3 linked regions of the Callithrix jacchus genome follow. The protein of the gene in region 2 interacts with the protein of the main gene of each other region in a biochemical or structural test. Links are inferred from orthologs where the notes say so. Each region holds a gene or a part of one and is shown on either strand. Other genes may lie near its edges. The genes, in order: ANGPT4, TEK and ANGPT2.

What was found.
Region 1: the proteins of TEK (region 2) and ANGPT4 form a complex in vitro, tested with the Homo sapiens proteins (2 studies listed by BioGRID and IntAct). The link is inferred for Callithrix jacchus from reciprocal best matches to the Homo sapiens genes TEK and ANGPT4.
Region 3: the proteins of TEK (region 2) and ANGPT2 form a complex in vitro, tested with the Homo sapiens proteins (7 studies listed by BioGRID and IntAct, with this or other methods). The link is inferred for Callithrix jacchus from reciprocal best matches to the Homo sapiens genes TEK and ANGPT2.

What each region holds. Positions count from the first base shown.
Region 1 is NC_133506.1:8,628,962-8,632,684, forward strand, and holds part of ANGPT4 (angiopoietin-4), read right to left. Parts: intron 1,309-3,723; coding exon 1,153-1,308; intron 1-1,152. UniProt on the Homo sapiens protein: Binds to TEK/TIE2, modulating ANGPT1 signaling. Can induce tyrosine phosphorylation of TEK/TIE2. Promotes endothelial cell survival, migration and angiogenesis.
Region 2 is NC_133502.1:134,401,220-134,404,942, forward strand, and holds part of TEK (angiopoietin-1 receptor), read left to right. Parts: intron 1-1,256; coding exon 1,257-1,367; intron 1,368-3,723. UniProt on the Homo sapiens protein: Tyrosine-protein kinase that acts as a cell-surface receptor for ANGPT1, ANGPT2 and ANGPT4 and regulates angiogenesis, endothelial cell survival, proliferation, migration, adhesion and cell spreading, reorganization of the actin cytoskeleton, but also maintenance of vascular quiescence.
Region 3 is NC_133514.1:9,418,121-9,422,420, forward strand, and holds the start of ANGPT2 (angiopoietin-2), read right to left. Parts: upstream 2,801-4,300; 5' UTR 2,461-2,800; coding exon 2,173-2,460; exon of another isoform or gene 1-2,172. UniProt on the Homo sapiens protein: Binds to TEK/TIE2, competing for the ANGPT1 binding site, and modulating ANGPT1 signaling. Can induce tyrosine phosphorylation of TEK/TIE2 in the absence of ANGPT1.

The sequences.
Region 1 (3,723 bases), on a different chromosome or scaffold from region 2:
GCCTTTGCACGTGCTGCACCCTCTGTCTGGAGCACTCTCTGCAGTAAGCCTGGCTGCAGCCCTACCTTCTCCATGGCCCTTCCTGGCCTTGCTGTGTGAACTCGCAGCTCTCATCCCTCCCACCACTCCCAATGCACCCGCCTCTTGCTCTGTCTTCCACGCTGTTTTCTCCTTAGCGCGGCCACTGGCTAACACATACAGCCACGTGTTGCTTAACGATGCAAAGATGTTGTAAGAAATTCATCGTTATGTGATTTCGTCATTGTGCAAACATCATAGTGTGTACTTACACACACCTGGATGGTGTAGCCGCCTACACACCTAGGCTATATGAGACAGCCTGTTGCTCCTAAGCTACAAACCCGTACAGCACCTGACTGTACGAATACTGTAGGCAGTTCTACCACCTGCGAGGTATTTGTGTATGCATATCTAAACATAGAAAAGGTGCAGTAAAAACAGGGTGTGAGAGCCTTATGGGCCTGCCGTTGTCTGTGTGGTAAGTTGTTCACGGGAACGTTGTTAAGTAGCGCATAACCACATATGTCATTTATCTTTCCATTTCCAGGGGAAGCCTCACAGTGGTAGGAATGCATGCCTGCTTTGTTTCCTGCTATATGCTAGAAACAGTCTTCTCAAGCAGTGCCCAGCACACAGGGGATCCAACAAACAAATGGGCAGAAACTTGTGTCCATTTGTTATTGACTGTTTCATCCACTGACTTCCCCACCCTCCCTTTTCTCACCAGTTCCCTCCCTGCTCTTTGCTGCTCAGATACCTCCTCTCTCCAAGTCCTTGGCTCCCGGAGGCCCAAATAATTATTTTTTATCTATCTTCCCCTAGTGCCTTATAAGCCTCCTGAGGGTAGGGGGGCTGTGCTGCTCTACCCCTCCTCCCAGTGCCCAGCACGGACCCCGGCACTGAAGTTACAGAGGCAGAAAAGCCAAGTCCAGCATTCACCTCCCAGGGCTCATAGCTTAGAGGGAGATAGTTTTATGAGAAGGTCATCAGAAAGGAGGGGCCCAGGGGGCTACAGGCCCAGAGGAGGCCTTGACCCTACCCAGGGACAGAGGTCAAGGTAAGATGATTGGGGCTGTGAGCCAGCCTGGCCAGTCACAGGCCCTCAGTGCCCACTCACTCACTCTCCATTACCTGAGCCTCCATGTCCGTCAGCTTGCGGGTCTGGGCAGTGGTCTGGTTCAGGAAGCTGATGTCCAGCTTCAGCAGGGGGGCCGTCTGATTGTGGACCATTTGCTGCTGGGCTTCCACCAGCTCCAACCTCAAGCGCATCTTGATGGTCCTCTCTAGCTGTGGGAGACCATGGGCTGGGGTCACAGGGGAGATGCTGGGGGAAGCCCCCTGTCCCTCCCATGTGTCTCCATGGAAGGGCACTGAGCAGGCACAGGAGGCCTCCCTGCCTCAGAACATGCCGGGCCAGCTCAGGCCACCTTTACCTCTTGCCTGGACAGTCACAGTAGATGTTTCCTTGGGAGGGATCACATATATGTTTTGTCTGCCTCTCTGCCTCCGTCCTTGTCCCCTTCACGGTTCTCCCCCTCTAGGCAGCCAGAGGGATCCTGCTAAACCTAAGTCAAGTCACACTCCTCCTCTGCTCAAAATCCTCCCAGGGTTCCTACCTCACTCAGAAAAGCCAAGACTGCAGGTTCCTCCGTGACCGGGCCTGCCGCTACACTCTCATTCTATTCCTATTCCCCTCTCCCTCACTCACTTCAATCCCGATGCAATGCCTCCCTGACATCCCAACAAAGCAAGCCTGCGCCCCCCTCAGGGCCTTTGCACATGCTGTTTCCTCACTGTTCCCTCTGGAATCCTCCCCCAGCCCCCACTCCATCTGCGTGGCACACACCCTCATGTTGTTTCAGGTTTCTTCATGCCACTTATCACCACTTGACTTTTTAAAATCACTACCTCTCTTTTTATCTGTCTGTTGTCTGTTTCTCTCTCTAGAATGTCAATTCCATGAAGCCAGGGACTTGGTTTTGCTCACTATCTTATTTCTATGTTTGGCACAATGCATGGCACACAGCAAGTGCTCATAAAGATGTGTTTAATGAATTGATGAAAAAGGGGAAGCAGCAAGGGTCAGAGCACAGCACCCAACCACATGCCCCTTCCCCACTTCCTCGGGGAGAGCCATCCAGCAGGGAGTGGGAATGCATCTCTCCCTTGTACAAAGAGTTTGCAGGTCCGTTGGCCAAGCTGTGCTTTCTCTCTTCAGGTCTCCTCCATCTGCAAATGGGGCTGGACTGGCCAGTCTCCAAGGGTTCTCCCAGCTCTGATGTTCTGGGATCCCACGTGCTAATGTTCATTTCTTTGACAGGGCTGCTCTCTTTCCCAAGGGCAGGAGAGTTGGTCTGGTACAGCACCAGGATTGTGTTGTAAAGGTGAACAGTGTGTTCTTAGGGCTCAGTGCCTGTCGGGAGAGAGCCAGCTCTGCCCCACCATTCTCTCTCCATTTGGCACACATGCTGGCCTCTCACCACACCCCCCCATCCCCGTCCCTGGCTCCTTCCCTTGCTTTCTCACTCAGTCTTTCAGAAGGTCCAACTGGACAGCTCCCAGGGTCCCTGGGAAGACGGGTGCTCCCCAGGAGAGGTGGTGACCTTTGCTCTGGCCAGGCTCCAGCCACTTCCTCCTTCATCTCTTCTCCTTTCTTCCATCTTGACTGTCCACTCCCATCCCTTCCTCCCCCTGGAGTGTTTCAAAGGGAGCATGTTCCATTATCAAATCCTGGAGTGGGTGCTTGTGGGCCGTAGTAGTATTGGTTAGACTATGTCAAAGTATGGTTCTTTCATCAGCATCAGCTGAGAGTTTATGAAAAATGAGAATTTCCAGGTCCCACCCTAGACCTACTGAACTGGAAACTTAACGGTGTCCAGCCAGCTGCGGTTAACAGCTCCCTGGCTGCGTTAGATACTTGCTCAAGTGTGAGAGCCCTTGACGCAGAGATGGCAGGGGGGACTGAAGACCAGAGAGACCTCCTTCCATCCTTCTCTGCATCATTAACCCCCGACTCCCTGTAGGACACAGCATGTGCTAACAAGTTCCATCTAAAAACTGACCCCACAGCCTCTCTGGCTGCTTCTCCAGTTTCTCTGGTCTCCTTAACACAAAACTTCTACAAGTTGTCTCCACATTCTCACCTCCACACCCACCCTTACTTAAAAAAAAACTATAATGTTAATAATATAATGACGTTACATTTCACACATATAAAAAAGCATAGAGGCCAGGTGCGGTGGCTCACACCTGTAATCCCAGTACATTGGGAGGCAGAGGAGGGTGGATCATTTGAACCCAGGAGTTTGAGACCAGCCTGAGCAACCTGATGACATTTTATTTCTACTGAAAATACAAAAATTAGCTGAACATGGTGGCACAAGCCTCTGGTTTTCGCTACCCAGGAGACTGAGGCAGGAGGATTGCAGGAGACCAGAAGGCAGAGGTTGCAGTGAGCTGAGATGGCACCACCGGACTCCAGCCTGGGCAACAGAGTAAGATTGTATCTCAAAAAAAAAGTATGGAGAATAAACATAACCTGCAGTGTTCATCCTCCTGTACACTCCCAGTCACATCTCTCCATCTGGGGAAGTCCATTTGCCTTTTGGGGTCTCACTGTCACCCAGGCTGGAGTGCAGCGATGTGATCGTGGCTCGCTGCAGCCTCAAACTACTGGCTTCAAGCAATCCTCCCACCTCCCAG
Region 2 (3,723 bases):
AGAAACAGCAATATATTTCTTTAAAAACAATATCAACTACTTGCAAAACAGCCAGAAATCCCTTTTCTCTTTTGCTACTTTAGTCACAGGGAGTCTTGGGGAGCAGTGAGGATAGTGAGAGGAGAGGGGTGTAGAATCTTAGGAGGGCAGTTTTTATTGGGATCTGATGTGAGCCTGATTTTCTGTCTTGTGCCCATGTGAAGAGGGAAAAGAGCTTAATAAGGCACCAGAGCAGAGAAATCCTGCAGGCGAAGCTCTGCATCCAAAGAAGGGCAGTTACTGAAGTAAGCGGACAACCTCCCTGTAAAGAACTTCTTTAAAAAATTATTCCCAAGGTTTGACCTTCAGTGAGGCTTCTGCAGTCTGAACAGAGCACCTGACTTATGGGTACCCTTAGCCCCTCCTGAGACAATTGTCAGTTTCTAAGCATGATCAGGCATGTCCATGGCCACTAGCACCCCACTCCTACCCTTGCCACCCAGTGCTTTTTTTTGAAAAACAGCATAGCTCATTGTCTCCGACACAAGACTGATCAGTTTATGTACCAACCAATAGCCTTCTCTTCAGTCTGGTCCCTGGTGATTTCTCCCTCTGGTCAGAGTGCTAGTGGAGAGACAAGGCAAAAGGAATAGAAGCAGATGCAACTCAGTTTCCTGATTCCCATGCAACTTCCATAAGACACCATTTGGATTTGATTTGTTTAGCTCAATTAACCAGATTAAGACTGATTTGTAAAACATAAGTTACAATCAATGAACAAAGATGCATGCATTATTGGTGATGTTTCATGGAAACTTTGGTTCTATTGCTTAGTTGTCTCTGGATGGTAGATTTAGCTGGAAGAGCTAACGTCTAAAAGATGGTACAGCTCCACCTCTACCAAGTCATTTACCTGAGGATCTAGGAGCTTAAACAAGAAAACTTTAGAGTACTGGTTGGTTCTCATCCAGAGGTGGTTTTGCCTCTGGGGGCATTTGGCAATATCTGGGTACATTTTTGGTTGCCTATCAGCACATAGTGGGTAGAGGGCAAGATGGCTGCAAAACATCCTACCATGCACAGGACAGTACCCCTTAAAAAGAATGATCATCCCAGTATCAATAGTGCCAAGGCTGCTGAGAAACTCTACTCGAGAAGTCTGTATACAGTTGATGGTGACTGAGGGTACCTGAAGGTTCTGGTGGGGGGCAGGACAGGACACCTGATTCTGAAAAGGTGTGACAAGGATGAACCACAACTTTTCACTTTCTTCCCAGAATATGCCTCTAAAGATGATCACAGGGACTTTGCAGGAGAGCTGGAAGTCCTTTGTAAACTTGGACACCATCCAAACATCATCAATCTCTTAGGAGCATGTGAACATCGAGGTGAGATGCTCTTTTCCTGCCTTTCCTGCCGAATTTTTTTTTTTATAAAACAGATATATTTCATACTGATATAAGGAAAGATAATGATCTTAAGAATGTTGCTTATTTTTTAAAAGTTGCATATTCTATCTGAATGTCTCTCTAGTCCCATTTATAGATTGTGCTGAGGTTTGCCATCGTTTTGGAGGTAGGTACCGAGGCTGGACTATTTAGCCTCTGAGGCGGTTCAGACATTACTGAACAAAGGTATTCATGGCTCCTCCCTGCCCCATCCTTGGTCATCCAGACATTTTCTCAACTACCACCACTACTAAAGTATAGTAGGGCAGCCCCCAACATCAGTTTCTTCTTAATTCCCTATCTTTACATTTTTCCTGGAAACCCAAGGACGAGTATTCTGAATGTTAAAAGGCATGAATGCCAGCAATCTACTGAAATATGAAAACTGAGGATGCTTAGATTTTTAAAATAATTATAATAAGCTCTCATGCGATGGTGCTTTGTTTTTATGTAGAGTGCTTTCATGTACAATTACCATGGAGCTTTACGTCTATCCTATGTTGCACATGCCTTTAAAGTTAAATTTATGTTATTAATTCAAATGTTTATTGAGCATTTTCTATTGTAATGTGTGAAATTAGTGGTGAGGGTGTAGGTAACGACAAAAGTCTTCTATGAGTTTACCTCTGCAAAGCTGCATGGCCTTGTCCTTCTGAATTTGTGCTTAAACTTCATTTCTCATGGAAAACTTTGCTCCCACGAAAAGCTCCATGCAGTAATTATTTTACAGACTTGACAGCCTCTTGTTGACTTTGCAGGACAAATAGCAACAATAGAAGAGACTACTTCCCTTTCCTCAATTTATTAAACTAAAAATACTGGTGCTTCCAACAATATATCATTCTATGAACCAATGAGGGTGTAATTCTGAAAGCCAGATCATGTCCCTTAGGTTAAATAATGAAGTAATGACATTTATTTTTTGAGCTACTTCCTAAAAACAATAATCAGCATGGGACAGGAGTATAAATGAAAGTTAAACACCCCCCCACACACACACCCTGCTGTCCTTGCTGATGGCACTCCCACAAACATGGTGAGTGTTCTTAAAACCTGCCTGACTTTCTGTTCAAACCCCACAAAGACACAGTACAAAAGGGCAAAGATTCTCTGGATACCCAGGGCAAGTGGTGTTATGACAGGAAGCCAAGTGGCGGTGGTGGATAGAATAAACCAGTTTTCTGGAAAAAGCCTAAAACCACAAAGAAGACTCTGCTGGGGCTTTAGTGTGCTGACCCCGCTGCAGATCTAAGAGAATGCTGGCCGTGAGGGACCCAGGCACTTCGCACTCAGAGGAGATAAGAAGAGAAATGGCCAAGTGATCCAGCTGTAAGCCTCATCTTTTGTTTTATTCTGAGGACAGTAAAATCTTGAGGTGATGTTTACCTCATTTGGTTGCAATTGGTCTTTTGGGAGAGAATAAACTACAAATATTAATGCAGCTTTCTTAGTGGAGGAGGAGAATGTGACAACAAAAATATATCCCTTAAAATTTTGCTCTGTCATCACACTAGCACAGTTAGTTGGCTCTTAAAATTTTAAGATAAATTATTTGTACATATTTACGAATATATGTTATATAAATATTTATTAGTAAATTAATAAATACATTTTAAAATTATTTTAGAATAATTCAGTAAAGATGTGAGAAAGCACATTTATTCCATAATTTAGGTCTAACTTTCCTTATAGTGCAACTGGATACCATACCAGATTTCTTTTTTTGCTAGAGTTTTCAATTTCTTAGAATATATTTCAGGCTTTTTTCTTTCTTGTTTTGAGCCAGGGTTCCACTCTGTTGCCCAGTCTGGAGTGCAGTGGCACAGTCTGGGCTCACCGCAACCTCCCTTTCCCTAAGCTCAAGCAGTCCTCCCACTTCAGCCTCCTAAGTACTCCCAAGTACCTGGGACTACAGGGATGTACCACCATGCTTGGCTAATTTTCGTTTATTTTTATTTTGGTAGAGATTAGGTCTCACTATACTGCCCAGACTGGTCTCAAACTCCTGGGCTCAACCAATCCTTCTGCCTTGGCTTCCCAGAGTGCTGGGATTACACGTGTGAGCCACTGTGCTGGGCCTCAACTTCTAATTCATTCAACATAGAAAAAACATGATTTACCCAAAAAATTCTTCTTTAAAAAACAGTGAAATCATTTTACATTTTAATAGGCATAAATGTCAATGTTTTTAGCAAAGCAAACTCCCTTTTAAAAAAATTTTTTGGCCAGGTGCAGTGGCTCACGCCTGTAAGCCCAGCACTTTGGGAGGCAGAGGTGGGCAGATCACCTGAGGTCC
Region 3 (4,300 bases), on a different chromosome or scaffold from region 2:
TCACTTTAAGTGGGTTTCATCTTTGCCTTTTTGTTTTCATTCCCAAGCCAGAAGCCTGTAAACCGAGTGAGAGCGCAAACTGCCTTTCTCAGGCGCACGTTGCTGAGCTAGGCGGGGAGAGCAGGTGTGGAGCCGGCAAAAAGATAAACATTGAGTCACTCTTGGTGAAACAGTATTTAGCTAGATAGCCAAAGGCGGACTTTTGAAATACCATTGTGCTGCTACTGTTCAAATATTGACTAAGAGAACCTGGAAAGGAAGAAATTTGGGTCACCTAACATAGAATTCCTTGTCTTCTTCTGTCTTTAAATGCTATCTCAAAGACCCAAGAGAAGGGGTAGTTTACCTAAGAAAGAAACATGAGCTGTGCTTATGGAGTTTCAGGTATACCTAATGTAGGCTTAATTAAGCAAATACAAGTGACCAGCCTTACGTTTGGCAAAACATTCTTTCCTGTTTCGTGGCTCTTTATTATAGGAGATGACTTGCCAGCCGGGCAGCTTAGAAGGTTTACTGTAATGCGTCTTTCATCCCTCACAGTGACTGTAACCACGGCTGATGTGGGAAAGCTGTTAAACGTCACCATTTACAAAGAAACAGGAAGTTCACGTTAAGCGGGTATTGAGGGTACAGTTTGCCTTCCCCGTATTCCAGCCTGCGTTGCTGCACACGTTCTAAGCTTAGCATAGTTACTTACGCAGCTCTGAATTTTAGGAGATGTTTAAAAGCACGACACAGTGACCTGGGAAAGGAGAGAAACTTACTGAAGCACTTAGCCAGGAGCTTAAACAGACATTGCTGGCGAGTTTTAGATGAACATACATTTGATGGGTCAGTCGGGTACATTTTTGTTGTTTTAAACACTCCTCTTGACACAGTCACAGTGGTGCTGGGAACATTCATTCACGGTCATTCATTTAGGCTCATGGCTCACATAACTCAGTCGTTTCCTCTCTGAAGGTAGGGGGGTAATGAGAAGCACAGAAAAGGGTCCAGATCTGTTCTGAGATTCAGATAAGGTGTCCTAACAAAAAGCTGATGGCGAAATGAAAGAGTGACAAAATAATTGTGCTTTTCCAGGGTAACGTGTTAAATGAGGCTCACCAACTTTTAAAAGATTTTGTGTAGTTTTAAATAATCACATCCCTTGCCAGGTAAGCATTGTGATGTCATGGCTTCAGCATGCCGCTTAACGATTAATTTATGCATTTGTTTAAACTTCCTTTAGAATATATGGAGTCCCTATAAAGAAAATTCCAGGGTCACTTGGCTTTTCAATGGTTATATATAAATAGCTCCCATGTTTACACGTGAAAAAAATTATCTGTGAAAGAAAAAGCTTTCAATATCCTATTTTGGTTACGTCTCCATAAAAAGCCTAGGAAGCATCAGAATCATCTGTGAAACAGTGGAATCACCCCAAGAACAAGAACAAACTGTCAGACCGTCCTGCCGTGACATGACTTGAACATAACTGTCCCACGTGGGGACGCATTCCACACGGGTGGCTGGAACTGCCGGGGCTGCAGTGCTGAATACTTTCTGGACGCTTGGGAAAACTGCCCCTATTTACAGACAGCAAGCCCTTAGCCATAGAGCCCTGAGCATCTGAGCAACATAAGGTCTGCTTTATTTAATTTCCTCTCGTTCACCAAGAGCCACAACCTACTTTAGTAAATAAATTCAGGAAATTGGTAAAGCACTTTACTCCATCCGTTATGTCCCGGTCATCAGCAGGGTTGTCATGGTCTTTCTGGCTCGCGGGCGGCTGTGGCTCACAGCCTTCCCTCACTCGCCTGCAGTCAGCTGAGTGCCTGCCTGGTGATGGGTCTTACCGAGCTTCAGCGACGTAAACAAGCAGAACGGCACACAAGCTGTGCAGGAGGGTATTTCCTCTACTTTGTTAGTAAAGATTTGCAACTTTAAGGATTTTCTGTGTTGACCCTGACGTTCTTTCCAAATAATTATTTTCACCCCCGGACTATCCACACACCCTGGGATAGAATAAAAGAAAAATGATCTTTCATCCTAGGGTACCCGCAACCTGCTCTCCAGCTATAATCCTCTTAATCCCCCCTCTTTTTTTTTTTTTTTTTGGTTGTTAAAACCAGAGCTGCTGCCAAGCTGATCTTAATAGCATGGATTGTTCGCAAAGACAGATGATTTTCCTACCTTCATTAGCCACTGAGTGTTGTTTTCCATGATGTTCTCCAGCAGTTGCAGCCTCTGCACCGAGTCATCGTATTCCAGCGGCGCGTCCCTCTGCACAGCATTGGACACGTAGGGGCTGGAGGAAGAACGGCAGTTGTCCATCTCAGGCAGGAGGAAAGTGTAGCTGCAGGACCCATGCTGAACCTGATACTGCTTCTTTCCTATGCTGTCCATGCTCTTCCGAAAGTTGTTATAGGCTGCGGCCAAGACAAGATCACAGCTCAGAGTAAAGAAAACAATCTGCCACATTCTTTCTTCAGGAACAAACCAGCAGCTCAGCAAACTTGAAGGCACACAAGTCCAGAGTCCCGGGCTGCTGCCGTCGGAAACGCAGGGCTACTGTGCTGCCATGGCTGGGTCCGTCAATGGAAGTCTTCTCTTGCCTTTTTTTCCAGTAGCAAACTTGATTTTGAGTACTGTGTTCTCTCCAGGCATGCAGTAAACTGTCAGATTGCAGTGGGAAGAACGGTCCTGCTCGCTTGGGAGGGCTGTGCCAGCTTCTACAGAGCAGCTTTCGCGGTTCTTTGTTTCCCTCTCCCCAGATCCTACAGTGTCAGTATCCGAATCAATCACTTTCCTTTCCTTATATGATAAGTTGATAAGAGCAGCCAGACATGTGTAGTGGGCTGCTCCGCCCTCCTGGCTGATCCGCTATCTTCCTGTAGGGGGTCACTAGCCAGGCAACAGGAAAAATCGGAGCAGAATGCCTGCCGTCCAACAGGACCGCATGCTGCAGAAATCCTCCGGGAAAAAACGATCTTTACAGGACCCCTGGGCATTCCTAGGCACCACCCTAATTAAGTATTTCCTAGAGAGAGCAGTTGATCTCTTTTGTCTGAAACTGATTTCACCGTGCTAAGCTGGCAAAATATCCGAGGTAATAACTTTAATGTTAAAGCACAATGAAAGTTCCTGTTTTTTCCTTGAGGAATAAAAATACTACAGGGCTTCGGTTCATTTTTGTTATTACACATAGAGAGGAAGAAGCTTGGCTCTTGTAAACTCGTGCCTTTCCAGAGGGGAAAAAAATAGATTCATTGACATTAGTTGATTCTTGAACCATTGGCAAAGTTACAAAAGACTTTCATTTCAAATCAGTTGGAGAGGAAGATCTTCTGTTATTAAGTCATGTTAGAAACTTCAGTTTCTGAGCTCTGATATTTATTCTTTTTCTTTTCTTTTTTTTTTTTTTTTGAGACGGAGTTTTGCTGTTGTTACCCAGACTGGAGTGCAATGGCACGATCTCGGCTCACCGCAACCTCCGCCTTCTGGGTTCAAGCAATTCTCCTGCCTCAGCCGCCCGAGTAGCTGGGACTACAGGCGCGCACCACCATGCCCAGCTAATTTTTGTATTTTTAGTAGAGATAGGGTTTCACCGTGTTGGTCAGGCTGGCCTCAAACTCCTGACCTTGTGATCTGCCTGCCTCAGCCTCCAAGTGTGCTGGGATTACGAGCATGAGCCCCCTCATCTGGCCCAGAAACCTTTTTATTGTATCAGGATTTGTTGACTTCTCAGCATTTTGTAACATATTATCAATTACGTTAGTCCCCCTTGGTATTAGACCCGGGCAAGTCACTTCCCCTTTTTAATTAAGCTCTAATGTCCTTATCTGTGCGTTTCAGGGGGTGCACTCACAATATTTTTCTACTTCAATCCCGTGGCTCTGTAAGTCCTACGAGTCACTTCCTTTAACAACTAAAACTTAATACGTCAGAGGTTAACAATATGTTAACTCACCAGCCCACGTGTACATGTGTTGTGGTCTGTTTAGCTCTCAGTGTGCAAGGTTTATTATTCCCAGTGAGTGCTGAATATCTGGTACCCTCACTTGGCAGACCACATCTACCTACGAAAGATCTTTATTTTCCCCTGAGCTCTAACAGAAAGATAGCCTTTCCCTTATCTATGAGTAGTTAACAAACAACAGTGTCATCTGTGACCTCATCAATAGAAATCAGCTATTTTTATTTGCTGTCACTTGTACTTAAACTATATTTTTATTAAACCCATCCCTAGGTCTCTTTACTGAATATTTGAATAAAGTAGCACGAGTCATCTTTTGAGAAGGTGTTCATACGTTTCACCAGA